7 linked regions of the Callithrix jacchus genome follow. The protein of the gene in region 5 interacts with the protein of the main gene of each other region in a biochemical or structural test. Links are inferred from orthologs where the notes say so. Each region holds a gene or a part of one and is shown on either strand. Other genes may lie near its edges.

Region 1 (4,231 bases), on a different chromosome or scaffold from region 5:
CATGCTGGGTCAGGCAGCATCTCTGGGGGCCAGGGACAGCCTGTGCCCCTTGCCTGGGTCTTGGATGGGGGGTGGAAATCATCTGGGAGTTGGGGGCCTCCTGGGGCCTAGTCAGTGTAGTGTTCAGTCCTGGGGAAGTCCAGTGTTGGGGTGTGGGGGAGCAGAATGGGGACACAGCCCCACCTCAGATGCCTGGTCTGTGTGGGGCCTGCTGGACCCCTGAGCCCCACCATGAGGAGTGAGGGGGACAGCAGTGGAAGCAGGGCTTCCTGGAAGACGTGGATGGAGTGCCACAGGCAGCCCAGGGCACAAAGGTTGCAGGCCACAGCCAGTTGTGGTTTGGGTAGCCCCGGGCTACCCCGGCTCACTGGTCACCAGCTGGTGAATGCCGCAGACAGCCGGAAGCCCAGGTGTAAAGCTACTCCCACCCTTGAGCGGCTGAGCTGCTGATTCATGGCAGGAGGGCGGGCGGGGGGCCCTAGGGAACTTGTTACCCACCAACCCAGTGGGTTCCAGGGGTGCACCCCCCATCCTTCCTGAGACCCAGATCACTGGGCTGGGGAAGGGGTGTCAGGGTGGGGCTTTTCACTCTGAAGCATCTGGTCCAGGATGGAGCCAGACCGATGGGAGGATGATGCCCACACGGAGGGGACAGGCTGAGGGCCCAGCAGGTCCTCGTCCCTGTAGGAGAGAGTGCAGCCATGAGCTTTGCAGGACGGAACAGGCAGGGGTGGGACAGGCAGATGCACTGACACTTGCAATGCGTGGAACAAGCACCCCACAGAGGAGAGAAGGGGAGGAGCTGGGGGTGCAGGAGGGCCCACGGGGACCTATGGGACTGGGAGGCCCAGGGTCAGTGGCCACAGCAGTGGGGTTGGGCATGCAGCTTGAGGAGTCTGGGAGACAGGGACGCAGGCAGGACAGGTGCAGGTGGACCCCACGTGCGGGGACAATGGTCAGGCACAGCGGCAGGGTATCCTTGGGGGTGAACCTGGGAACACAGGGCTCAGCCCAGGGAACTCAGGGCAGGGGGACAGTGACTTGCAGCTGCAGACCCAAGTCGGTTCTCAGGCTGTCACGGATGGGCCTGGAACTGTGGGGAGTAAGGACTGGAGCCCGGCGGGGATCCTGCTGAGAACGCCCCTCCTCACCCCCCAAGGCAGGGAAGTTCAGCCAAAGGGCAGAGGCTGGCATGGGTATCTCCGCGCCGCGTCCAGCCCTAGGTCCGGACAAAGCTGCGGGGCGGCGCTCCCCTCCCCCTGCGCTTCCCCCCAGGCTCCGGCCCTCCCCCGGCGGCGGCCGCCTCGGGTTTCCGGAGGGGCCGGAGGGCGGGCGAGGGCGTCACGTGCGCGCGGCCCGCGGGCCGGTTGGTCCCCGGGCGGGGGAGGGGCCGTGCGCTGCCTGGGTCGGGGCTGGGGTCGGGCAGGGGTTGGCACCTGGGACATCCCTGCGGGAAGAGCCGGGAGCAGGAGCGCCCCAGCGGCGGGCGGGCGGGCGGGCGGACAAGCCGCGCGGAGCGGGCCCGGGGCGCGCGCCGAGGGAGCCCCGCCGATCCCGGGTTACCGGTCCTGGGGGAACCGCCCGCGGGCTCTGCGGAGTGGGCGGCTCCCGGGCCTGCCATGAGCTCTCCGCCGCCCGCCCGCAGTGGCTTTTACCGCCAGGAGGTGACCAAGACGGCCTGGGAGGTGCGCGTCGTGTACCGGGACCTGCAGCCCGTGGGCTCGGGCGCCTATGGCGCGGTGTGGTGAGCGCGGGCCGGGTGGGGCGGCCGGCGGGGCGGGCGGGGCCTGCGCGGGGTGCCCGGCCTTCCCGCTAAGCGTGTGCCCCGCAGCTCCGCGGTGGACAGCCGCACCAGCGCCAAGGTGGCCATCAAGAAGCTGTACCGGCCCTTCCAGTCCGAGCTGTTCGCCAAGCGCGCCTACCGGGAGCTGCGCCTGCTCAAGCACATGCGCCACGAGAACGTGAGTCGCGCGGCCCCGCTCCGGGAAGGCGCCGCACCACGGCTCGGCTCGGCTTCCCCACCCAGCGACGCCCCCTCAGCAGGCGGCTGCGGGGCGGGGCGGGGACCGGGCCGTGGATCCCCAGGGGAGGAGGAGAGCAGGGCTCAGCCCCCGTCTTCTCTGCCAGCCCCGGGAAGGACTCACCCCCTCAACTCCGCGCCTCAGCCAGGCCCTGGTCAGGGGACACGAGTTGGCCAGGCTCAGGGATTCTCCAGCTCTCATGCCAAACCCTGCCCCCAGCCAGGAAGCCCGTGGTGAGAGGACGCTCCCAGTGGGCCGATTTTCCTGGAAGGGGCACCTCCCCTCTTTCCCATCCGGACCCCTCTCCAGCTCCTCTGTGGAGCCCACTCTGTTGCGGTCCATTTCCCGAGTCTTCTGACCCAGCGGGGGGCGAGGGGGGCGCGTCCAGAACGTAGGGAGTGTTGGACCCTCAGGAGCCCCTGGGGGTGCAGGGTGTAGGGAGCTGGGGTTTGGGGGCCACTGGGTGCGGTGGCCATCACACAGACACCCTCCCGTTCCTTGGGTGGTGGTGGGGGCCCATCCTTTCCAGCCCTGCCCATGAGATGCACAGCTGCCCTGGGCCTCTCTCATGGCTGTGGCTGGCTGTTGAAAGCCCTACCTTTCTGCCAGGGGCGCTCCCGTTTCTGGACACAGTTCCACTTGTTCACTGCCCCCCACGTCACTCCTGCCCTGCCATTTGAGCTCCTGGACCCTAGCTTCAGGGTCACACGCTCTGGACCCTCCTGGGTCATCCAAGCCACCAGCGCCCTGGGAGAACGAGTCCCTGCGTCCACCAGCAGACTGCCCCCACCACTCCCTCAGCCCTTGAGTGGGTGCTTTTCTCTGAGGCTTCCCATGCCCACCCTGACCCCAGCTCACCCCCCTGGCCCTGTGAAGCCCCTTTGTGGTGGACAGCAGTACCGCCGCCATCTCACCACCTCCCAAGTCACACCCAGGCCTTGTCCCAGGAGTGTACCCGCCCCCACCCTTGGTTTTATCCAGCTCCTCCCCTGCAGCCCCCTGGCCCCACCCACCCACTCACCTGTCTGTTCCTTGCCCCTGTCCAGCCAAGAGCCCCGGGCTTTTCTTTTTTCTCTGGAGACTTGTTGCCCAGGCTTGAGTGCAATGGTGAAATCTTGGCTCATCGAAACATCTGCCTCCCTGGTTCAAGCAACTCTCCTGCCTCAGCCTCCCAAGTAGCTGGGACTACAGGCACGCGCCACCACACCCAGCGGGGGATTTTGTATTTTTAGTAGAGCTGGGGTTTCACCATGTTAGGCTGGTCTGGAACTTCCAACCTCAGGTGATCCGCCCACCTTGGCCTCCCAGAGTGCTGGGATGACAGATGTGAGCCACCACGCCCAGCCACCAGGGCTTTTCTGTAGTCACTGCTCGCTGTGCCTGTGGGTCCACCCCCTGGGCTCCTGGCCTGCAGCTTCGGCTCTTCCCCTGGAACGCCATCATCCTGGGAGACTAAGGGTTTGCAAGGCCATGTGCCTTGCTCAGCTGGGGAGGAGGCTCTGGCACAGGCCCCAGTCCTGACGTTTCCAGGCGGGCCCCCATACCACAGAGGCCAAATCCATCCATCTGATGGCCCCAAGCCCACAGGACCCTGTTCTCCGTCGTGGGCTAAACCACTCTCCCAGGCACCCTCCAGCTCTCATGACTGCAGTCCCGGCTGCTCCCAGGCCTCCCTAGACCTCGCCCCACCCACCGTTCCTTCTCTTTCCACACTCTTGCCCTCAGCTCTGGCCCACGTGGCTACAGTGGAGCTGTCCTTCCAGCTTGTGCCCATTCTTGCCTCACTCCGGCTGGTCCCTATACCACAGCCAGGACACATTTAGCATCACACCCCTGTTTAAATCCTTCCCTGTCTCTTGGGATCAAAGCCAAACCTTCACCTGGTGTGTGCTTCCTGCCGGCTCCCTCTGGCCTCTCCTCAGCCCCTCCCTGGCCTGGGCCTCGGCCACCTGGCCTCCCTCCCTTTGTTCCTCAAACTCTCCCAGTGTTTTCCCTCCTGCCTCGGCTACTCTGTGTGTGCCCTCTGCCAGTTTCCCTCTGTCCACACGTCCACCTGCTCCTCTGTCCTTGGCTATGCAAAACTCCAGGCCTCTCTGGGACCCTGGAGGCCCTGTCACCCCAAAATGCTGAGGTGGCAGTTATCTTATGACCTGTCCACTGTCCGTCTCCCCAACCAGGGGCGTTGTGGGGACCAGGTCTGACTGGTCACG
Region 2 (3,970 bases), on a different chromosome or scaffold from region 5:
TGAGTAGCTGGGATTACAGGCAGGTGCCACCATGCCCAGCTAATTTTTTGTATTTTTAGTAGAGACGGGGTTTCACCATGTTGACCAGGATGGTCTCGATCTCTTGACCTCGTGATTCACCCGCCTCGGCCTCCCAAAGTGCTGGGATTACAGGCGTGAGCCACCGCACCCAGCCCAAGAATCACTCTTAATGCACTAAAAAAAAAAAAAAAAAAAAAAAAAAAAAACAGCTGAATACAGGTTCCTGAGAAAAGACACTCTTTTCAAATTTGCCTTTTAGCAGATCTTACCAACATTTCTTACAACTGTGAAATTCCTTTCATGTTATTTGGGATATATGTTTCTTCCATTAAGAAGAGGGAAAAAAATGGACTAAAAGGCAAATGGGATATAAGAAAGATTATCCTGGATAACTGACTATACAATAATTTCTTGAGAACAGAATTCCAGCATCATTCATCTTGGTAACCGTGGTAGGGTATCTAGAATGATTATAAGGGCTCAAAAATAGCCAGTCTGTATTCTAGGTATTTACTATACACTTTATTCTCTCCAGTGGCACTTCTGGTGGGTACTACCAATCTCATTCTATAGATAAGAAAAAAGTAAAGCCCAGATTGTTAAACAATTACTTAATCTTACAAAAGTGCAGAATCTGTTCTTAAGTTAATTCCCTTTTTTCATGTGAATGACTCAAAAATATTTGGTGAGTGAATACAGAATTAAAAGCAAATTCTGGAGATGCCTTTTATTTCAGATCCATGATCCAGGAATACGACTCTAACCAAAGGAGATTTCTTTAGGTAATGTTGCCCTTCTTCCCTTTAAAAGAGCTCAAAGCCAAAACTATAATCCAGACACCATCAAAGAGCAAATGAATGTCTAGAAATAAACTGAGCATTTATAGAAGGATACACTAATTTGGACATTGGAAAACAGGTGTTAAAATTTCAGATCACTTGTTATTAAAACACTCCTTGGGGGGAAAAGGTAGCATATAACTGCACACTGTTGATGTGAATATTTGCAAAAAGTAGTTTCTGACTTTGTGAGTTGTTACACAATATACTGAGTTGCTTAAGGTTATAATCTTTCCTTTCCACTGAGATCATTCACTTGGATTGCTTCAAATGTAATGTGCTCGGTCAGAAGTAGAAACTGGAGTTAGGATTGCTTCACCAGGGCTAAATATTACTCACTTTGCTCAAACCTCATTTGTCCTCTGCAGCCCCCACCCAACTCTCATTTTTCAGCTACACTCCACCAGATGCATACTTAGTGCTTGTGGTTCCAATGACACAACACATTCAAGCTAACCTGTCTGTGGAAAGTTTGCAACCCTCTGAGTTCAGACGGGGGTTAGCCATGAAGCATAGGGTGCCAGGAAACAGCATTTGTAGTCAGTCACTCTTTTCTCTTGTCCAGTCTTTTTCACATCACCTTCATCTTTGCCCGCTATTTTATTCCTCTGCTGCGTCTCCTTTGGGACTCGTGGGGGAAGGAGGACATGAAATAATAGCTTTCCTAATAATGCCACTAACCAGCCCTCACTCAACGCAGCCTAGTGCTACTTACTTCTCCAGGAAAGGGCACCAAAAAAACAATTGTAAAGAAACCACTCCTCGTTTCCTCTTCTGTGTCTCGTGTGTGTGTGTGTGTGTGTGTGCGCGCGCGCGCGCGCGCGTCCGTATGCGCGCACGCATGTGTGTGTGAAATTTTAATTTCCCTGGAATCGGAACTACAGAAGTCCCTCCTCAGCCCTACTGGGAAAGAGGCATTGGGCATGACCGCCCTATCCAAGGCAGGCTGCAATCCTTTTCACAGAAGTAGAGGAGAAAAGGGGTGGAGAAGGGCGCTACGATGCAGCATCCGTAGAGAAAACAGGCAGTTCGCACGTGAGCGGGCTCCCAGCCTGCGGCGCCACCTGACCTCCTGGCGCCCCCAGTGTGGCGCAGTGGCCCAGGAAACGCAGCAGGCGCAGGCCCTCCTGGACCCCTGCCAAGTCAGCGCTCCGCTTCTGCCTGGGCTCAGGCCTCGCCCGCATACACTTTTCCATCTGCCTCCACCCCTGCCATCCTTCTTGGGGACCGAAAATGAAGGAAGATGAACGCCCCCACACCTCCCTTTCCCCCCGGTATTTCATCTTCCCCTCCCAGCCTCTTCGTGTCCTGATCATCTGCTCAAAGAGAAGACGTTCTCCACAAACACTCTCACCACCCCCGTCTCCACTTTCTGCGGCACTGAAGCCAAGCCATCTCAGGGGGCTCGGGGCCGGACACTGGCGGGGCGCGCCTTAGGGACTCGCCGCACTGGAAGCAGCCCTTGTAATCCCGTGAGCTGAAGGGACTGGCGAGCACCGCGCCACGCCGAGTCTCGGTGCGAAAGCCGGGAGCGTGGGCACCTCCTGGCCAAAAGCTCGCGGGGCGCTTCTGGCCGGGGACCCCGCGCGCCCCCGGCAGCTCCCGGCCAGCTGTCCGCGCGCACTGGCTGACGCGAGCTCTCCTCCCGCGGCCGCTTCGGGGTTTTTTGTCTATATAAGGGCTCGCTGGCCAACTCTGCGTTGGCACGTTTGTCGCAGGCTGGCCATTATTTGCACACACACACACGCGTGCGGCTCAGCGGGAAGCGGGTCGCAGACGCACGTTCGCCCTCCTCTTCGCCGGCGCCTCCGCCTGCTCCTCCTCCTCCTCCTCCTCCCTCCCTCCCTCTCCGGCTGTACTTACTTTATCTGGTCTCTGGAGCAGGGTGGGCGCTGCAGTCCTCGGTTCCCCGCAAGCCGCAGCCGGTTGGCCTCGCTGTCAACGGGTGAATGGAATTATTTATTTATTTATGGCCCCTGACGTGTCCTCGCCCGCCACAACCAGCGGAGGAGGAGGCGGCGGCGGCGGGAAGGGGAGGCCCGGCTGCTAAACGCCCTCGTGGGTGCGGAGGAGCGCGCGCCAGGGGTGGGGGCCAGGGTGGGGGCCAGGCAGGCGGCGGTGGAGGCCGGCCCGGGGGGTGGTGAGGGGGGAGTCGCCTCCCGGTGCCTGGAGACCGACTGAGCATGCTCCAAGCGGCTGTCAAAGCTATAGGCACTTTCTCTATGGCTCGGGGTATTCCACTTCGGATTTTAGATTTGACCAAGGGAGAAAGCCAAAAAGGCAGGTAGATCTGTCATTCCAGATGGGTCGTGACTTGCCATATCCGAAGTACTCTGTAGCCTGACCTAGAAGTCAGATGTGCGGTAGCTCTGTCTAGATATCCCAGGCAGTTGTGCACCCCATGCATGAGAGAGGAAAGCATGCAAAAAGAGAAGAGTTTGGCCGAATGCAGGGAAAACAGGAGATCCTCAATTGTGAGCTTGCAGGAAAAGTGTTGAGCCATTTTTCAACTCTGGCCTTTTTGAAAGAAAGAGGTGGGGCACTGTTAGAGATTAGACTCACCAACCAAATAACTCGACGGAAAAAAATAAAACTGACACCATAAGAGGAAAGGCATAGAAAACGGCATCAAAAGACTTTTAAAATAATTTTCAAATTATTTATAAGTAATTTATTTCATTTTTAGTTTCCCAAATTACTTAATTCTCCAAAATAGCATTTAGTTATTTTACAATGAATAGTGCTAGAGACAATGGTAATTCTGCAATCGTTTGGTTTGGTCTCTTCCCCTGTCTAACATATGCTTCTTGGGAAAGTTGGAAAGAGGAAGGGCTGAAGTGAACATTTAAGCAACATTAAAGACTGGGTTTCTTTAATATCTTTAAATTGAATTGCCACTTAGAGAAAAAGAAACGATCCAAAAGAATAATTGTAGGTTTTGAATTGACAACTTCTATTGCCGTTTGTCTACCAGTTTAACTAGCTTTCTCCTCCTTGATTTCACAATAATCCTTTTAGATGTGTTCCATGATTCTTCACATTTTACGAATTTAGAAACAGAGTTACGTCATTTGGATAAATTCACATTTTCTTTTGACACAGCTAGTCTG
Region 3 (4,038 bases), on a different chromosome or scaffold from region 5:
TGTCCAGGGCATCACCCACCATGCCTAACTAAATGCCAGCCTTCAGCGGGCCAGCCCTGGGCAGCACTGTCCCAGGGCTGTGACCTTAACCTCCATGGCTGTCAGGGGCTAGGATGCATTCCCCACCAGTCTCTGCCCAAGAGAACACCTGCTGTGGGGCACAGGTGGCCCCTGGTACCTGGAGGCATTGCCACCCTGAACCATGCCAGGTGGGCTGCCCTTCCCCCACTTTTAGGAGAGGTGAGGGCATAGGAGCCAAATGCCGGCTGTGAAGAAGGGAAGGGAGGGTGGAAGTGAGCTGGCAGAGGGAGCAGAGCATGAGTTCAAGATGGGTCCAGGGAGGTCCGGTCCAGGTGAGAGCTAGGATGAGGCCCATGGCTCCTGCCTCCCTGCAGGAGGGAGCTCTCGGCTGGGCAGCGTTTGGAATTGAGAGTATTGAGGCTTCTAGCATCAGGGCTGCAGAAGAATGTGCAGTCCCAGGCTCCCTCAGCAGCAGAGCCAGAAGGGTTTCCTGGCATCACCCAGCACTTTGCCCTGGGGTATCCATACTTTGCCCCTTCAGAAAGGTAAGACAGAGAAGTTAAGCACCAGAGATACAGGCACACACACACACCCAGATCCAGAAGGCTTTGCTTTTGACCCAAGCCTATTGTTTCGGCCCCATGGGTGAAAAAGTCTGAGCAGTCCCTCTCCTAGGTGAGCCAGACAGCGGCTCTCCAGTTCCCTGAGACCGTCTTCCCTGAGCCACACATTAGACCCTCTCTACTTCCAGGAGTCACCCTCAGCCTGACCCCAAGGTGACTCTGGGGGTCCTGTCAGGACTGAGTTCCTTTGCAGAGCCTCGTTTTGTTATCATAGCTTGGTTTGCGCCATGTCCCAGGAGGGGACACCTAACCTGCCCCATACTGGTGGCAAAACAAAGGCCCGGCGAGTGGGCAGTCCTGCCCGGGGCCCCGCCTTCCATCCAGGCAGACCAACTCCCACTTTTCTTTTTTTCTTTTCCATCAGCTTCCGGTGGGGCAGGTGGAGGCCTTTAGGCCTGGGGCTCTGTGGTTCATGGTGCCTGGACAGGTGAAGAAGGGGTAGCCTGAAGCACCTAAGACTCCAGGGCTCCCCAGGGTACAGTGGGGGAGAGCATCAGCACCCCAACAGCTATAAACGTGGGCTCCTCTGAGGACCCCTGGGACCCTCGAGCACCCCACACCTGAAGGTCAGAGGCTGCAGTGACCCCTTCCTCCCTCAGGGGTTGCGTCCCTCCTCATGGAGCAGAGGCTTTGACTGGGCTCCTGGACACAGGACAGACCATGGCCTGGTCCAGCTCCTGATGCCCCTGGTCTCTGTGCCCAACAGCCATCTGCCTGCCATGGAGACCTTCTTTAGGAGACATTTCCAGTGGAAGGTGCCAGGCCCCGGAGAGGGGCATCGGCGGCCCAGCGGCGTGGGGCTGCCCACGGGCAAGGTTCGGCGTCGCTCCCCCGCTGGGCAGGCCTCCTCCTCACTGGCACAGCGGCGCCGCTCCAGCGCCCAGCTCCAGGGGTGCCTCCTGAGCTGTGGGGTGAGGGCCCGGGTTTCCAGCCGCCGGCGCTCCAGCACCGTGCCCCCTTCCTGCAACCCCCGCCTCATCGTGGATGAGGTGCCCACTCCACAGCCTACCACTGTGGGGGCCCAGCTTCTGGGCGCACCCCTGCTGTTGGCTGGGCTTGTGGGCATGAATGAAGAGGAGGAGAAGGGTGTCCAGGAGGATGTGGCAGCTGGGGCATCAAGCGCCATCCAGCCAGGCACCAAGACACCAGGGCCACCCCTATTCCGGGGCACCAGGCCACTGTTGCCCCTGCCCCGATGCCTGCGCCGAGCCTCCTCCCACCTGCTCCCCGCGGATGCCGTATATGACCATGCACTCTGGGGCCTGCACGGCTACTATCGGCGCCTCAGCCAGCGGCGGCCCTCAGGCCAGCACCCTGCCCCTGGGGGCCGAAGAGCCTCAGGCACCACCGCCGGCACCATGCTGCCCACCCGTGTGCGCCCACTCTCCCGCAGGCGCCAGGTAGCCCTACGGCGCAAGGCGGCCGCACCCCAGGCCTGGAGCGCCCTGCTCGCGTAGGTATAGCGGCGGCTAGCATGGCGAGTGGTGTGACCTCCTGCGGGTCTGGCCTGGGCAAGGGCCTTGAAGCTCTGCCTGGCCAAGGGTTCCTCCCCACTTGGGAACACTCTGGGCAGTGCCACGAAGCCAGCGCACCCCAAAAGGCCGTGTCTCCTGCAGGGAGTTTCTCAGTGTCTGGGTCTTCTGGGAGGTCCTCCACCCTCCCTGTCACCAAGGTCATGGAGAGGACAGAGGCCCCAGGAGTGGGAGGAAATTGGGTCAGCAAGTGCTCAGCCCCCTCCTCAGCTGTCTTCTCCCCTGTAGGAAAGCCATCACCAAGTCTGGCCTCCAGCACCTGGCTCCCCCTCCGCCCACCCCTGGGGCCCCGTGCAGCGAGTCAGAAAGGCAGATCCGGAGCACAGTGGACTGGAGCGTGAGTGCCTACATAACCATGGGTCCCAGCCCCACTGGACTCTGGGCCATGGCGCAGTTGGAGGGCAGAGGCACAGCAGGCAGCTGGGAGAGCGAAGCCTGGAAGGGTGGACAGTCGGGCAGATGGGACAGAGCAGGGTTGATCCAGGCTCTGGAGCGGGTTTGTCTTGGGAGAAGGTGGTGGGTGGGCAGGGGCTGATGGGAGGGAGGGCTGGGCGGCCAGCATGCACTGAGCAAGCCTATCCGGTGGCTAGGAGTCAGCAACGTATGGGGAGCACATCTGGTTCGAGACCAACGTGTCAGGGGATTTCTGCTACGTGGGAGAGCAGTACTGTGTAGCCAGGATGCTGGTGAGTGCTCGCTGGGACACGCTGCCCCCTGCTGGCAGAGCTAGCACCCGCAGCCCTTCTGGGAAGGTGGGATGGAGCCCTCTCCCTACCACCCCTGCAGTGGATCACCCCAGGATGGTGAGAGGTGCAGGGGCTTTTTCCAGAGGCCAGGACTGGGCTTCCCAGTGCACACAGAGGGCAGCTGTGCTGGGGCAGGCAGCCTCCAGGATAGACTTACTGGTGCCTCAGGGGCCCTCTCCTCTTGTCCTGCAGCAGAAGTCAGTGTCTCGGAGAAAGTGCGCAGCCTGCAAGATTGTGGTGCACACACCCTGCATCGAGCAGCTGGAGAAGGTGGGTGGGTAGCTCAGCTTTTGCCTGCCCCTGCCCATTGGGTGCTGAGGCCCTTGCTGTGTGCCCACACACCCACACGTTATACAAATGTGGCCTGCCAGGAGCAACCCAGCACTCAGGGGTGAAGAGTCAAGGACCCTGGAGCCAAATGCCTGCAATCGAATCCTGGCTCCTCACTTACTAGCTGCTGCATCCCCACTGCCTAGAAGAAACGTAGCACAGAGTGGGTTCATTGAATATCACTCGATGAGATGAATTGTCAAATCATGCATGGCCCTTGTACCATTTCAATATGTCCAAACTAGACCTTAGAAGAGGCCAGTGGTTTGCTGAAGCTTCATAACTCCGCTGTGGCTGGCGGCGGAGGGGGATACCCTACACCCTGCCTCTGTGGAGACCTTTTCCCAAGGGCCATTGTCCACTATGCATCTGCAGCTGGGGGCACGTCTGAATACTGTGCTTCTAGAGGGAGGTGGGGGCAGCACTGGGCAGGCAGGTCAAGGCCAGGGGTAGGAGAGTTTGTGTGGAAGGGCAGGGCTCCCCAGCCTGCAGCAACCCAGACCAGCATACAGGAGAGACTGTAAGACCAGGCGTGGCTCGAGCAAGGCTCACACGGGCTGCTTTTCCCAGCCCCTGAATCGTAAATTGAGGTGTCCTTATACCTGTAATAAGACTGAAGTAGGGTCACTTAGAAGGGAAGTAGAAACGCAGCCCGAAGCATTGCACACTCATCTCAGGTGGAAATCCAGCTAGGGTTCAACAAATTAGCTAAAGGTCTCCAGGGACCAGGCAGCACAAATCTGCGTGTGAGGACCAGGCTGGCTGCATGTGCCAGGTTGGGAGTGC
Region 4 (3,500 bases), on a different chromosome or scaffold from region 5:
ATCTTCAGGGGAGGACAGGCTGAAAACGATGAGACAATAATGGGGACAGGCAAGTTCAGACACAAGGACACCTGCGACAGAATGGGAGGGACAGACGTGGACATCTGGGATGTGTCAGGATAAAGGGAGGGGGTGCCAAGGACAGGCTGGAAAAGATGAGAATCCCTCCGGGACAGGAGGGAACACCGGGATGGGGGTGCAAGTTCAGACTAGACAGGTGTGAAGTTGCCCATGGTGGGAATGGCTGGAATAGTGTGAACTAGATATGGGAATAGCTTAGAACAGGCACGGGTGTGTTCAGGACAGGATGGTTCTAGACAGACGTGGTTATAGATGGGAGATGGTGGAATGGGACTGATAAGTGCCTAGGACAGGTCACATGTGGGAGTGTTGGAGGGAAACACAGACATGGTAACTCCCAGGGAAGAACAAGCTGAAACAGATGAAAAGACATGTGAGGACAGGCAGGGCTGCGCAGGACAGAGAAGGCTGGGACAGTGTGGGGATACCCAAGGCAGGCCAAGTCCAATGGCAGATGCCTGGGTCAGGCTGGGATAAAGGTGAGGGCACCTGCAGCAGAAGCGGGGAGTGTTTAAATGTCCTGGGGGTGCTGACCTTCCAGTGCGCTGGTGAGGACACTGACTGCGCTGAGGGCCCGCTGCCGTGCTTCTGGCTCCTCGAAGCCATCTACACACGGAGCCTGAGGGGTCAGCATCCGGGGCCCGCCTGGCTCCTCCGATGGCGTGGTCTGAGTGCAATCAGGAGATTTGCGTCAGCCTGGGGAAATGGGGAAAGGGGTCCTGCCCCCAGCTCTAGTCCTGCTGGACCTGGGGTGGCCAGTCCAGACTCAGGCTGGGGATGCCACAGGGATAGGATGCAGGTCTTGATGGGACACTGAATGCTGGGCTTCTCTATTCCCAACTCCCTCCCAGTTAACAGCTCCCTCCCCACTCCTGCCAATCACTGTCTCCTTCATTCTCCTTTCTTCTTCACTGCCTCTCATCAGCAGTGATTCCTGAGTGTGGTCAGGAAGCTGCACATCTCATAGGGCCTCCCTGAGCCAGATGCTGTCATACACATTAGTACACGCAAAAATGATGTGGAAGTCTTAATTGACCACAAGCTTCCTAGAGTCAAGAGCAGAAAGAAGCTGAAAAAAACAAAAACCTAACATGTTCTAAGAGGATGCTAATAGAAGGACAAGGTGCAATGCTTCCACGTGGCTGGTGGGAGGCTGTGTCTTCTGGGGAGGCAGTTAGGCTGGATTTACCAAGAAAAGTTTAAATTGGCCCTCCAAGTCCTCACCTAGCAATCTAACTTCATAAATAATTACACACGTGCATCAAAAATACACATAAAGGATGTTCATTGCAGCACTGTTCCTAATACCATAAGAACAGAAAACAACCAATCAATAGCAACCATATTAAAATCAATTACAGACACACTCCAAGCCTGGGCTCAGATCGACTACAAAGAGAACGAGGCAGTTCTGTGTATGCTCCCATGGGAACATCTCCAAGACAAACAGTTTGATGAAAAAAACAAGAAAAAGATCTGGAAAATGCATGCCAAATAATTAAGGTGGACATATCTGGGGAACGGGACTGTGGGGGAGGGGAAGAGAGGGAGGCGTTCCCTCTCCACTTCATGTGCTTCTGCACCGGGGGTTTGTTTTCATCATGCATGCACCATTTCTATCAGTAAAAAACCTGAGGTCTGGAGACAGCCCTGGTGAAGAGAGGTGGCAGGCAGGCATTCTCCAGACTTACCTGGAGCCTCCCACAAAACCAAGGAGGGCCCATAAAGTCTTCACTTCAGCAGGGCTCTGCATGACCACAGCCCAGGTGCCAAGCTGTTCAGCATGCAAGACTGTAATCTTTGTAGGGCAGAGGGAAGATGGGTCTAGACTACCCAGGGTAGAAGAAACAGGGTGTGGGGTGGTACCAGATAGATCTGGGCTCAAGTTAAGGACATCCTGGCCATCAGTAGGACTGCTCTGAAATGTTGCCTAGGGAGGTAGTGAGCTCCCAGTGATGGAAGTATTCAAGTGGAGGCCCCCGAGAGGGCAGAGGTGGCTGGTGCAATGGTACTGCCCCAGGTCCAATGCAACCATAAATTTAGCCAGCTTAAGTCACAAGCATGTCTTACATTTTTCCAACCTCTCCCCTCCTTTGCCATCTGTGACGGTTTGGTTATCCCTTAGCACATATGCACTCTCTTTCCCTTCCCACCAGGGCTGAATTAAACTTCCGTGTCCCGGGCATGAACAACTTGCTTTGGACAACAGAATATTAGTGAACATGCTGTGAACAGAAACCTCAGCTGGGCTAGTGCAGTTTATCTTGCTCTTGTGCTCCAGGAACCCTCCATGAAAAGAGCTTTCCAGATAGCTGTCACCCTTTCAGCCTGGGCCTCAGAACAAAGACTCGCGGAGCAGCCCTGAGCCTAACTTACAACATGGAACCAAGCCCAGCCAGCATGCAGTCTGAAGCAGGGCTGCCCAGCTAACCTAACCTACATGGGCCACATTGTAGCCAACCTGCAGATGAATGAGCATGAGAATAAAGTCTTGTTGCTAGAGATTGACTTCTGGGGTAGTCTGTTACACAGCACTACTGTGACAACAGCTGACTAATACACCATCTTAGTCCAGTGGTCAGCATCTCTCTTCCCAAACCCTGCAACAGTCTCCTAACTGGCTTCTTGTCACTCTAGTCCCTCGATTCTCTGCATAGTAGGAAGGGATTCCTTTACAAAGTAAATCAGATAATGTCACACCTCTGTTCAACAACTCCTTCTACCCTACTGCTCCCCCTCTTACTCAAAGTATATCCAAACTTTTCTATGATCTACAAGGTCCTGCACAGCCCAAGTCCTAACTCATGAAACTCATTTTAATGTTTGTACCACACGTGGCCCTATTAGCCCCTCTCACCCCTTGGATGTGTCCCCCTCAGGGGCTTTGCACTTGCTACTCCCTCTGCCTGAATGCTATTCCTCTACATTTTAGGGCTGGCTCCCTACAATCTTTTGCCTGTCAATTTTAACTTACCTCCTCAGGAAGGCCTTTCCCGGGTATTCTAAAAGCCTCATCCCCATCCTCCTCTTAGCAACTTTCCATCACATGACTTACTACTACCTGAAAGTACTGACTAGTTTACTGTTTTCCCAACTATGGTATAAACTCCGAGGGGAACAGGGATCTCGTCTTCTCCGTTCCCTGCTATAACCCTGGAGTCTCAGCACTGCCTGGCATTCCACATGGCAGGCTGGCACTAGATAAATACTGGTTGGATAGGTAAATTCTTGGGAATCCATCAGAACGCTTGGGTTAGAGTTCCAGCTCTGGTCCTAACTTGCTAGGTGACCACAGGGAATGTGGAGGGAGAAGAGGAATGGATCTTCAGTGTGCTGCTTCTACCTTTATCTGGCCTTCTGGAAACAGGCACTCTCATACAAGCAGAGGGCTAAGTCAGTCTTCAGCCCCTCCCCCCATC
Region 5 (2,860 bases):
TGGCTTCCTCCTTGCTCTATCTTCTGTCTCACTGTGGGGAAAGCCAACTGCCATATCATGAGAAGACTCAAGCAGCAGCTCTAGGGTTAGGCCTGCATGGTGAGGCACTGAGACCTCATGACCATAAGCAGTATTGGAATGGATCCTCCGACCCCAGTCAAGCCTTCAGATGACTGCAGCCCTGGCCGACAACTTGACTGCAACCTCATGAGCAACTCTGAGACAAGAACAGCCCAGCTTAGCCCCTCCCAAATTCCTGACCCACAGAACCTAGGACATAATGAATATTTGTCATTTTAAGCTGCAAAATTCAGGGTCATTTGTCTGCTAAATTTGGGGTAATTTGTCACACAAAAATAAATAACCAATACACTCTCTTTGGCCCTGTGGTGAAGGTCTGTTCTTCTCCAGGGAAAGGTGCCCCGGTCCTTGGTCTGGTCCATCTTGGGACTGCAGGGGCCACCCCAGGGCCCAAAGGCCAAGGCACAGACCACAGACACTGGGCCAGGCTGCCTGTATGCTCACAGGCTATTTATTTATCCAAGAGTAAGGAGGAGAGAGAAAGGATGAAGAGAAAAACCAGACTCCCCAAGGTGGCGGAGCTAAGGGGAAAAACAAACAGAAAGGCTCCTCTTCTTTCTCTTGCCGCTGACCCCAGGTATTCCAGCTTCAGATGGGACCTCTGGGGGTGGCTTAGGGGCCTCAAGGAGGCCTGGCAGCTCAGCTGTTGGCTGGGGTCAGGATCCACACAGGGGCAGGTCCCAGGCTTGGAATGGCTTCTGTGTACACAAAATATCTCTCTGCAAAAGGCACTAGTGGAGGGGGGCAGCAGGAAGGCTACCCCATCACAGGCAGGGTCCACTCTGTCCTGGGTCTGGGTCCTGGGCCCCAAGACCAATCCAGCCTCCCTCAGGGGCGGGGTCTCTGAGGAACCTCGTTCCTCTCCTCTCCCTTCTGTCAGCCCAGGGGCGAGCAGGCATTCGGTGGAGGCCCAGCTCAGGCCATGTTATAGACACCCCTCTTCAGGGCTAGTGCATCCGGCGACTTCTAGGCCAAGAGCCCAAGGCGGGTGACTTTGGCCGAGAGGAAGGAGTGGATGATGAAGACTATGGTTTTGGGACACGAGTGGAGGTCCAGCTGCTGCAGGGTGGATGGAGAGAAGAGTCAGGGCCCTGGCCAGCCTGGCTTCCAAGAGTGCACACCCCCTCCTCCCCAGGGTACAGAGGCTGCCCTTCACTCACGATCTCGCCTTCAGCACCCCCAAAGTCCAGGAAAAGGAGACTGGCGCCATCATCTGAAGACATCTGCAGCTTCTCGAAGGGTTGTCGCAGGAGCACAGCTCGGGCTGCCCCTGGCTCAGCCGCCCACAGTGTGAAGCCCTTGTCGATGTGCACAGACAGGCTGCAGGGACGCCCGTTCCACGTGCAGGCTGCAGGAGGGGCACGTAGGTACAGGCATAGCTGGCACCTCAGAGACCACACCCCAACCTCCAACCCCCACCGCAGCGTCACAAAGTGGGGCCTAAATGCCTCCATGTATGGTAGGATCACTGTTTGTTGTGGCACCTGTATACCCATCCTGCAGAGAGTCACCACCCCCACCCTCAGAGGACCTATACCCACTTCCAGCCCCACTTCCAGCAGCACTACAGTATAAAGGGGGGAGCTTAAAATCTGTCATGGACAGGAGGCTCACTCCTGATAAAGGCATCATCAGATCTACCAAGCACCACCCTTGGAGACTTGCAGAGTTGCCCAGCTAAATTTAAATTTCAGATAAGCAATGACTAATTTGGGCATAGTTCTATGAAAAAAGTATTCATTGTTAACTTGAAATTCAAATGTAGCTGGGTGTCCTGTATTTCATCTGGCAGCCCTACCCCAAGTGCCATCTCTCACATCCTCAGCAGATGGACAAAGCTGGGGCAAGAAAACCCCAGGGAGAAGAGTCTCTGCCTACCAGGGCACCTGCACATCCAAAACAGAGGCCCAAACCCAACGTTGGTTTCTTTTTTTTTGAGGAACAATCTCACTGTCACCCAGGCTGGAGTGTAGTGGGTGTGATCTTGGCTCACCACAACCTCTACCTCCCAAGTAATTCTTGTGCCTCAGCCTCCCAAGTAGCTGGGACTATAGGCACCTGCTACCATGCTCAGCTAATGTTTGGGGTTTTGTTTGGTTTTATTTTGTTTTTTGAGACCGAATCTTGCTCTGTCACCCAGGCTGGAGTGAAGTGGGGCTATGTGGGCTAACTACAACCTCTACCTCCAGGATTAAAGCAATTCTCCTGCCCCATCCTCCCAAGTGGCTGAGATGACAGGTGTGTTCCATCATGGCTGGCTAATTTCTATTTGTTTGTTTTGTTTTTTGAGATGGACTGTTGCTCTGCCGCCCAGGCTGGAGTGCAGTGGTGTGATCTCAGCTCACTGCAGCCTCCGCCTCTCAGGTCCAAGCAATTCTCCTGTCTCAGCTTCCTAAGTATCTGGGATTACAGGCGTGAGTCACCGCGCCTGACCTAATTTTTATATTTTTAGTAGAGACGGGGTTTCACCATTTGGCCAAGCTGGTCTTGAACTGCTGATCTCAAGTGATCCACCCGCCTCAGCCTCCCAAAGTGCTGAGATTACAGGTGTGAGCCACCACACCCAGCCAATTTTTGTATTACTAGTAGAGACGGGGTTTTGCCATGTTGGCCAGGCTAGTCTCGAACTCCTGACCTCAGATGATCCACCCACCTTGACCTCCAAACCCCATTTCCTGTCTGAAGTGCCCTAAAGAAGGAAGCTTGAATGTCCCTGAGGAGAAGAGGCTCATTACCAGAGGGACACTCCCAGATCCTCCCAGCACACCTGTAGACACCT
Region 6 (3,500 bases), on a different chromosome or scaffold from region 5:
AGATACAATTTTCAAACTGTGGCTCAGGGTGTGTAAGTATGCATGAGGGATGGGGACTGCTGGGGTCCAGGCTTTTATGTCAGATTCAATCCCTGTCGTTCCTTCTGAGCCTTTCAGGAGAACTTTGGCTGGATAATAACATTTCTAATGCACCTTGCCTGTCATGTTAAAAACAACTATCAGAAAATAAATTGATTTTTCTAGGTTTATTCAGAAGGCACTTCCAAGATTTAGATGATGGTTGAAATCTTTTTACCAAAAAAACTCCATGTTTTTCAGTTTGCTTTTTATAGATTCCTGAATAAAATGTGTTTGTTAGGTATTTTGATTATTTACGATCTAGATGAACAGAAGTGAGCCAGAGACCCTTTCCAGCTAGAAGATTTATTTCAGTATAAGTAAACAGTACAGTTAAAAAAAAAATCAATCAGGTCTCTCATGGTTTGTAGCAGCACAATGAACTCTAGTAACTGAAAATTTTTATAGCCGATGACCTCACCAGGACTTGTCTAGACAGCATTTACGCTCTGAAGTCACAGCATGTTAGGGCTAGAAGAGATCTAACAAAGATACTATAACTTAGAAGTCCTAAGTGTTCTGTTTGCCATTGTAGCCATGGTTTTAGGGTTTGAGGGATGGTGAGACCAATGACTTCAGCATGGAAAGTGGGAAACTGATAGGCATAAATATGGGGAAAGGCCTAACCTTGGTTTGGGATGCAAGTGTAAACATACAAAAGTATTCTTTTCTGGAAACAGCAGCAAATTTGAAAGGAATTTGATGTCTGGTCGTGTTTGTGAAAATGGAGAGACTCCTGGAGATTACACCTAGAGAAATAATTGCAGTCAGTAAATTTGCAACCTTTTGGATTGACTCTCCTTGGCAACGTAATGCTAGTTTTTATAAAATAATGCTTGTATTATTTGTTTTTGCTAATAAAATCGTATGCTATGAAATAGTTACTTGTCTGTGGAATTTGGATTGGATCTACATGGCTCCCCAGCTCCAGAATTTTAGTCCACAAAGTAGTCAAATAGATCGACTTTTTTTTTTTTTTTTTTTTGAGACAGGATCTCACTTGTCACCCAGGCTGGAGTGCAGCGGTGTGATCTCTGCTCACTTTAGTCTCAACCTCTCAGGCATGAGAGATCCTCCTACCTCAGCCTCCCAAGTAGCACCATGCCCAGCTAATTTTTGTATTTGTTGTAAAGACAGCATTTCACCATGTTGCCCAGGCTGGTCTTGAATTTCTGGGCTCCAGTGATCCGCCCACATTGACCTTCCAAAGTTCTGGGATTATGGCCATGAGCCACCATGCCTGGCCACTGATTGACTTTTTTAAAGCAAACTTTTCAACTCATTGTTTTGCTTTCCTACCTGTAACCATAAAAATGCCAGATGCAGTTTAGAGCCTGGACTCTAATCCCACAGTTTTATTGGCCTGTAAGTGGCAAAGACCAGAATGTACCTTATAGTCCAGAGGAGTCTGATTGCTTTGACTGATGTAAATTTGGTTTGAGAACCTGAGATAGAAATAGCCTTGTCTCTGAGAAAGTGTTTTGAGAGGACTTTCTATGATTTGGGTGCTTAAATAATTGCACGGGTGGGATGATTGCAACATTAAGTGCCCTTAGGTCAGATAATAGCTGAGCTTCCCATTAACTTTGTGAATGTGAAGTGATTTAGTCTGTAAGACTTTCTTCAGAGAAAGAATACTAATGGTTGCCTGGTGATTTTAACTTGGAGTAAATATTTGGTGAAAAGTTTTGATGTGAAGTACACTCTGCTCATGGTTTGTGACAATGAGTGAATGACTCTTGCTTCCCACTCTGTTGTTCCTTCTATAGGAAGCTGCCCTCTGTCGACAGCTCCCCATGGAAGCTGAGACTCTTGCCCCAGTTCAGGCTGCTGTCAATCCGCCCGCCATGACCCCAGACATGAGATCCATCACTAATAATAGCTCAGATCCTTTCCTCAATGGGTAAGTTAACATTTGGGGCACACGTATTTTGCTCTCTTCATATTAGACTATAGTAGGATCTTTGTTTACATTAGGAAGAGGTGGGGAGCTTGAGGGTGGAGGGTGAGAATAAAGAAAGGAAGTGGGAGGAGCTGGCAGAAAAAAGTAAAGCAGGGAAAATCATCTACATTTTTTTAAAATTCCCAAATTTAAAAATTGGTGATATAATACAGAGTAAATCCCTAGTTAAGAATTTGAAAATGGGCGTGAACCTATAATTTAAACACGATGGTGTTGTCTAGTACTTGTACTTGGAAGAATCTTGTGGTTTTATGTAACCAATGGGGATAAAAGCATGCTGTATGGCAAATTGAGAACAGAACAATTAAGATGATGTGATGTTCAGGGTGAAATGTGAGTAAGGTCTATAGTTTACTTAATAGTATTCTACAGTCTGGTTTTGGTAATTGCACTATGGTTATGTAAGATGTTATCACTGGGGAAGCTGGTGAAGGAAGGGTACATGGGAATTCTCTATACTCCTGTTGCATCTTCTATGTGAGTTTAAAACTATTTCACAATTTAAAAAGTAATTAAAACAAAGGAGCAAAAGAGAAAGAGAATTTAGCCAGAAATACCTTCATGAGCCGAAGTAGGTTTTAAATCAAATTAAAAGGGCAGTGCTCTATTTCCTATGTCTTTTCTTCGGCCCTTGCAGGAACATCTGGTAAGGAAACAAATACAATTATGAAAATTATTAAAGATAGAGATAAAAACAAACAGTAGCTGAAATAATAAGTAATGGAATTTTTAAGTTGCTGATTTTAAAGTATTTGAAATACAGAAAAGTAGAAAGGATAACATGAGTTACCCATGTACCCATTACCCAGATTTGCCATATTTTCATCCAATCTTATTTTTAATAAATAAAGATTATAATTAGTATTTGAATTCATCCCCCAACCACTGAAATTTTATTTCTTTTCCCTTTTGTTCCCTTTTGTTCCTTTTGTTCAGAAAGTGGTGTGTGTCCATCACATAGATTTTTATAGCTCTTACTGCCTGTCAGTGTGTGTATCCATAAGCAACATTCAACATTGTTTCTGGTTTTTAAAAAGTCTTACATAAATGGTGTCATACTCTGTATGTAGAAGAGTGTTCAAATGGTTAATTTGTGGTGAAAAGGAATTCAATGTCAATTTATTGTGAATGACCACACATGATTACTTTCATTTTCATGAGTTTATACATTTTAAAATTAAAGGGAATCAGAGTCAGCTTTCTGTCCTGCCCAACCTGGAAAGTTGGGCAGAATGGCACAATTACACTAGTTTAGAGCTTTTGTGACTTTGTTTTAATTTTGAGACTTACTTAGTGGGCTAACGTTGAAGTTTCTCCATCTTTTGCTCTGCAGAGGACCATATCATTCGAGGGAGCAGAGCACTGACAGTGGCCTGGGGTTAGGGTGCTACAGTGTCCCCACAACTCCAGAGGACTTCCTTAGCAACGTGGATGAGATGGATACAGGTAGGAGCAAAGC
Region 7 (4,269 bases), on a different chromosome or scaffold from region 5:
CACCCAGAGATGACAGAGCCGGACCAAACCCTAGTCTCCTGTTCTCCGTCGTTCTCCATAACCCTGAGCTGTCAGGCCTGGGCCCCACACTCTGGGTTGTCAGGGAACCCCCAGCGCCCACGGCTCGGGTTGAGCCAGCTACTTCCTGGCCATCCTGCCACTTCACTCTAGCCCTCTGAGGAGACCGGAGGGAAAGTGCTCCTGCCTCGAGGGTAGTGAGAGGAGAGAACACCTGCAGTTAGACAGCCAGAAGAACTTCCCTGGGAGTCTGGCTATCACTGACTAGACCCAGTGCAGAGAGGAAGAGACTGAGGCACCCCAAAGCCAGGTGGAGAACCTATGAAATCTGAAATCCCTCTGACTCTTCTGAGCCCCAAGGATGTCAGCATAAGAACAGCAACACACAAACCACCGTAAGTGTTTCTCTTCCTTGTGGGCTCGCCCTACACAAAAGGATCCAGTCCCAGCTCCTCAGTGTGGTATAGCCAGGTCCCACCTTAGCCGGCATCCGACATCCCATAAACCAACAGGTACACCCTGATTCCACAGATTCCAGAACACGCCACAGGCCTCTGCACCTCTCTGCCTGCACTCACTGTTCCCCCCTGCCTGAAATGCGCCTAGCACCTTCTTTGCCCTGAGACTCCTTGCTGTTTCCCAAGCCCGGCCTCAGTGCCACTTCCTTGAGAAAGCCACTTGATGACCCCAGCAGAAGTCATTCATTACCCACTCGTTCATTCAGCCAGCGCTAGGCACCCACGACGTACGAGCCCCTGGGCTGGGCACAAGTATGGTTCTTGCTTAGTGGGCTGAGGAGTCAGGCTAAACTAGGCTCAAAAGCACCTGAGAGCTACTTGACCTTGAACATGTTTTTAATTTAGCCTGTCTGTAGATTGAGGACCCTGACGTCCCCCATTCCCCAGAGGCAGATTAAATGAGGTGGATGCCCACAAAATGAGCAGTTCATGGTAGGCGCTCAATACATGTGACCGTCCTTTCTCAGGGATCTTTCTGTGCGGACCTCCACAGCGCACGTCCTGTTCCACGCCTCTCCCTGGTTACTCTGCTGTGTCCTCACAGGCAGACAGCTAGGACTGATGTTCCATCACATGAACGCTCAGTGCGTGGATGCAGGAGAGATTCAAGCAGCCTGAGTGCCCAGTCGGCAACAGATGTGTGCCTGGTCTTTCTCACCCTTTTGCATGGATTGAAAGTGGGAGGATGAAGGTGAGACAAATGACCTGCTTGGCCACAGGCCTGACCTGGTAGCTGTCCTGGGAGTGTGGGGTGCAGGGGGTGGAGGAAGGAGCAGAAAGGAGGGGAACATGGATACAGGGATGTCTGTAGATCCAAAGCATCTTCTCTCACAGGATCAGCCCCCTGATGCCAGGTCCCTAGGCACAAAGTTGAAGATGGGATGGGGGCTCTGGGGCAAGGAGGGTCACCTTTCCAGGCCTGGGCTGTGCCCTGAGGCAGCTGCTCATCCTGCAAGAAGACTGGATTGGGAGGAGGTGGGGAGAGGCAACCAGAGGAGCTCCAGGCAGGGAGAGGTTCAGAGACCCCAGGAAAGAGTCCTTTCTCTCCTCTCCCGCCCTGCGTGACCCTGGGCAGCCCACCTCTCCTTTCTCGGCCTTTGTTTCCTCATATGTCAAGTGGAAAACATAACACCTATTTTGAATATCTGTGTGTGTTTGTTTTTAGTTTGGTTTTTAGATAGGGTCTGGCTCTGTCACCCAGGTTGGAGTGCAGTGCTGCCATCTCTGCTCACTGCAACCTCCGCCTCCCCGGCTTAAACCATCCTCCCACCTCAGCCTCCCGAGTAGCTGGGACCACAGATGTGCGCCACCATGCCCAGCAAATTTTTGTAGAGATGGGGTTTTGTTATGTTGTCCAGGCTGGTCTCAAACTCTTGAGCTCAAGCAATCCGCCTGCCTTTGGCCTCCCAAAGTGCTAGGATTACAGGTGTGAGCCACTGGACCTGGTGGAGCAGCTGTTTTGAGGATAATCAGAGACTAAAGGAAGACTCCACATTGTTCACCTTATGTGAGAGTAGCTTCTAGCCCTGTGTGAGGTGGGGGGTGGAGATGGAAATGGGCATGCAGAGGCCTGGGAGGAATGTGAGGGGGTTGGGGAAAGGCATGGATGTCAGAACCTGTGTGTCCCTGGGAAAGATTCATGTCCTCTCTGGACCTCAGAGGCCTCATCTGTAATGGGACAGTGTGGACTGGGTCTCCCAATGGGCCTTGTCAAGATCCAGCACAGATTCGTCTCCCCGCCATGGAGTGAGGACAACCTGAATCTCCCTCTCTCATGCCCCCAGCTCAGCACTATCCAGACATTGACAGGCATTGTCTCCTTTCATTCTTGCAAGAATGCTGTGCTACAGGCACCTACTACCAATGGGGTAACTGAGGCATGGGGAGTCATGGGATGGGTGGCATGATTGGGGTGGCTGGAAGCAATGGTCTGGAGAAGAGAGGCTCACTCTGAAGTTTAGAGGGGAATGCTGGTGAAGCCTCTGTCCGTCCATACACTTTGGCAATGTGTCCTGCCCATCTCCTCTCTGTTCTCTCCCTTGATCCTCACAAGAGCTCTATGGGGTATGGGCTATGCGTGTCTTTACCCCACAGGTGAGGACCCTGAACTAACACTCAGAGAGGGGAAGGGCTTGTCTGGGGTCAATCAGGCAGTAAGCAGCTGTCTGGGCCAGGATTTGAACCAGGCTCAGCTCTCACTTTCTAGGGGAAAGGTCATTCCAGGCTAGCAGAGTACTCACCAACCAGCTCACTCTGGGGGACTTCTCATGCCTTCTGGGTCCGACAGCAGCCCTGAGAGCCCATGTGGAGGGCGGAGAGGAGCGGAAGGGAGGGCGACTTGGGACTGGCAGGTGGACAGCTGAGGAGGAAAAGGAAAAGGCCACTTCAAAATGCTAGAGTCACAGAGTCCAGAGGTTTTTGGCCTAGAGAGTGTCTTAAAGTCCAGCCAGGGCTGGGTGTGGTGGCTCATGCCTGTAATCCCAGCACTTTGGGAGGCGGAGGTGGGCAGATCACTTATCGCTTGCGGCCAGGAATTTGAGGCCAGCCTGGCTAACATGGTGAAAACCTGTCTCTACTAAAAATACAAAAATTAGCCAGACATTGTGGCGCACACCTGTAATCCCAGCTACTCAGAGGCTGAGGCAGGAGAATCACTTGAATCTGGGAGGAGGTGGACGTTGCAGTGTGCCAAGATCTTGCCACTGTGCTCCAGCCTGGGCTACAGAGCAAGATTCTGTCTCAAAAAAAGAAAAAAGTCCAGCCAGCCCATTCTGCAGATGAGGCAAACTGAGGAAGTCCAACTGCTTAGATTAGAAATCAGATCAGGACACACCCTTGGAGCTCTAAAATCCCAGCAGCTCCCAGGTGGTAAGGTCCAGAGGCAATTAAAGGGTCACTGGGAGGGCAGAGGGCCAGAATCCATCCCAGCAGGCTGTGCCCTGGGGACAGAGGACTGTAGGGGTCTCTCCTGCCCTCCACCTCCACCCTCGCCCACCCCCCAGCACTCAGTAGTCACCAGGGTGGAATATTTTAGCACCTATAGAAAAACCGCCACAGACGGCCGTGGCAGCTGTTGCTAAGGAGACGCTCCCAAAATAGCCCCCCTCCGCCAACCTTTCCCGCTGCTGCTCCTGCTGTGGGGAGGGGAGGAGACCAGGCAGGGAGGGGGTGGCACATGAGTCCTCGCCCCAGGTTCACCCACCCACCCTGGCCCCTGGTGCCCACTCTGGCCCAAGACACAGGTCTATGGAAGGGCAGGAGCTGTCCCATGCGTGCCTGTGACCTCAGCCACAGTCCTCAGCTGGGGAAGAAGGTCACTCAGGTGATAGGAGATGGGGGAGAAAAAGCCCCCACACCCAGGACCCCTCAGCACACTCCCACACATACACGATCACAGGTTCTCCTAGTTCTCTACATCCACTTGTGCACACCACAAGTACAATCCCACGCATGCCCACCGAGGGGCATGCACACATCAGCAAAGACATTAGATGCACGGGTAAACATGTGTCACAAGTACACATCCACCTGCCAACAAATGCCATGAAGCCATGAATACATGTTTTTACATCCATGTAGTCACAATCCATCCCAAATACACACGTACACCAATATACGCATGCCAGGCACACGGACACACACACACACACCCTCCTGGCACATGGACACACATATTCACAGATACAACTGTCCCAACACAAACCCAGCATGTGGCATCTAAAGGGCAGTCAGT

What was found.
Region 1: of the proteins of SNTA1 (region 5) and MAPK12, one has a biochemical effect on the other in vitro, tested with the Homo sapiens proteins (2 studies listed by BioGRID and IntAct, with this or other methods). The link is inferred for Callithrix jacchus from reciprocal best matches to the Homo sapiens genes SNTA1 and MAPK12.
Region 2: the proteins of SNTA1 (region 5) and SLC16A7 interact in a test that uses a peptide from one of them, tested with the Homo sapiens proteins (3 studies listed by BioGRID and IntAct, with this or other methods). The link is inferred for Callithrix jacchus from reciprocal best matches to the Homo sapiens genes SNTA1 and SLC16A7.
Region 3: the proteins of SNTA1 (region 5) and DGKZ form a complex in vitro, tested with the Homo sapiens proteins (2 studies listed by BioGRID and IntAct, with this or other methods). The link is inferred for Callithrix jacchus from reciprocal best matches to the Homo sapiens genes SNTA1 and DGKZ.
Region 4: the proteins of SNTA1 (region 5) and SCN5A interact in a test that uses a peptide from one of them, tested with the Homo sapiens proteins (2 studies listed by BioGRID and IntAct). The link is inferred for Callithrix jacchus from reciprocal best matches to the Homo sapiens genes SNTA1 and SCN5A.
Region 6: the proteins of SNTA1 (region 5) and WWTR1 interact in a test that uses a peptide from one of them, tested with the Homo sapiens proteins (2 studies listed by IntAct, with this or other methods). The link is inferred for Callithrix jacchus from reciprocal best matches to the Homo sapiens genes SNTA1 and WWTR1.
Region 7: the proteins of SNTA1 (region 5) and KCNJ4 interact in a test that uses a peptide from one of them, tested with the Homo sapiens proteins (2 studies listed by BioGRID and IntAct). The link is inferred for Callithrix jacchus from reciprocal best matches to the Homo sapiens genes SNTA1 and KCNJ4.

What each region holds. Positions count from the first base shown.
Region 1 is NC_133502.1:218,838,445-218,842,675, reverse strand, and holds the start of MAPK12 (mitogen-activated protein kinase 12), read left to right. Parts: upstream 1-1,431; 5' UTR 1,432-1,619; coding exon 1,620-1,744; intron 1,745-1,831; coding exon 1,832-1,961; intron 1,962-4,231. UniProt on the Homo sapiens protein: Serine/threonine kinase which acts as an essential component of the MAP kinase signal transduction pathway.
Region 2 is NC_133510.1:59,924,620-59,928,589, forward strand, and holds the start of SLC16A7 (monocarboxylate transporter 2), read right to left. Parts: upstream 2,801-3,970; 5' UTR 2,724-2,800; intron 1-2,723. UniProt on the Homo sapiens protein: Proton-coupled monocarboxylate symporter. Catalyzes the rapid transport across the plasma membrane of monocarboxylates such as L-lactate, pyruvate and ketone bodies, acetoacetate, beta-hydroxybutyrate and acetate.
Region 3 is NC_133511.1:111,387,414-111,391,451, forward strand, and holds the start of DGKZ (diacylglycerol kinase zeta), read left to right. Parts: upstream 1-1,238; 5' UTR 1,239-1,324; coding exon 1,325-2,097; intron 2,098-2,404; coding exon 2,405-2,513; intron 2,514-2,766; coding exon 2,767-2,862; intron 2,863-3,114; coding exon 3,115-3,192; intron 3,193-4,038. UniProt on the Homo sapiens protein: Diacylglycerol kinase that converts diacylglycerol/DAG into phosphatidic acid/phosphatidate/PA and regulates the respective levels of these two bioactive lipids.
Region 4 is NC_133518.1:76,457,865-76,461,364, forward strand, and holds part of SCN5A (sodium channel protein type 5 subunit alpha), read right to left. Parts: intron 749-3,500; coding exon 616-748; intron 1-615. UniProt on the Homo sapiens protein: Pore-forming subunit of Nav1.5, a voltage-gated sodium (Nav) channel that directly mediates the depolarizing phase of action potentials in excitable membranes.
Region 5 is NC_133506.1:5,910,538-5,913,397, reverse strand, and holds the end of SNTA1 (alpha-1-syntrophin), read right to left. Parts: coding exon 2,849-2,860; coding exon of another isoform or gene 2,817-2,848; intron 1,430-2,816; coding exon 1,242-1,429; intron 1,141-1,241; coding exon 1,048-1,140; 3' UTR 501-1,047; downstream 1-500. UniProt on the Homo sapiens protein: Adapter protein that binds to and probably organizes the subcellular localization of a variety of membrane proteins. May link various receptors to the actin cytoskeleton and the extracellular matrix via the dystrophin glycoprotein complex.
Region 6 is NC_133518.1:35,765,970-35,769,469, forward strand, and holds part of WWTR1 (WW domain-containing transcription regulator protein 1), read left to right. Parts: intron 1-1,847; coding exon 1,848-1,981; intron 1,982-3,374; coding exon 3,375-3,487; intron 3,488-3,500. UniProt on the Homo sapiens protein: Transcriptional coactivator which acts as a downstream regulatory target in the Hippo signaling pathway that plays a pivotal role in organ size control and tumor suppression by restricting proliferation and promoting apoptosis.
Region 7 is NC_133502.1:209,372,827-209,377,095, forward strand, and holds the start of KCNJ4 (inward rectifier potassium channel 4), read right to left. Parts: upstream 2,801-4,269; 5' UTR 2,777-2,800; intron 1,228-2,776; exon of another isoform or gene 1,100-1,227; intron 1-1,099. UniProt on the Homo sapiens protein: Inward rectifier potassium channels are characterized by a greater tendency to allow potassium to flow into the cell rather than out of it.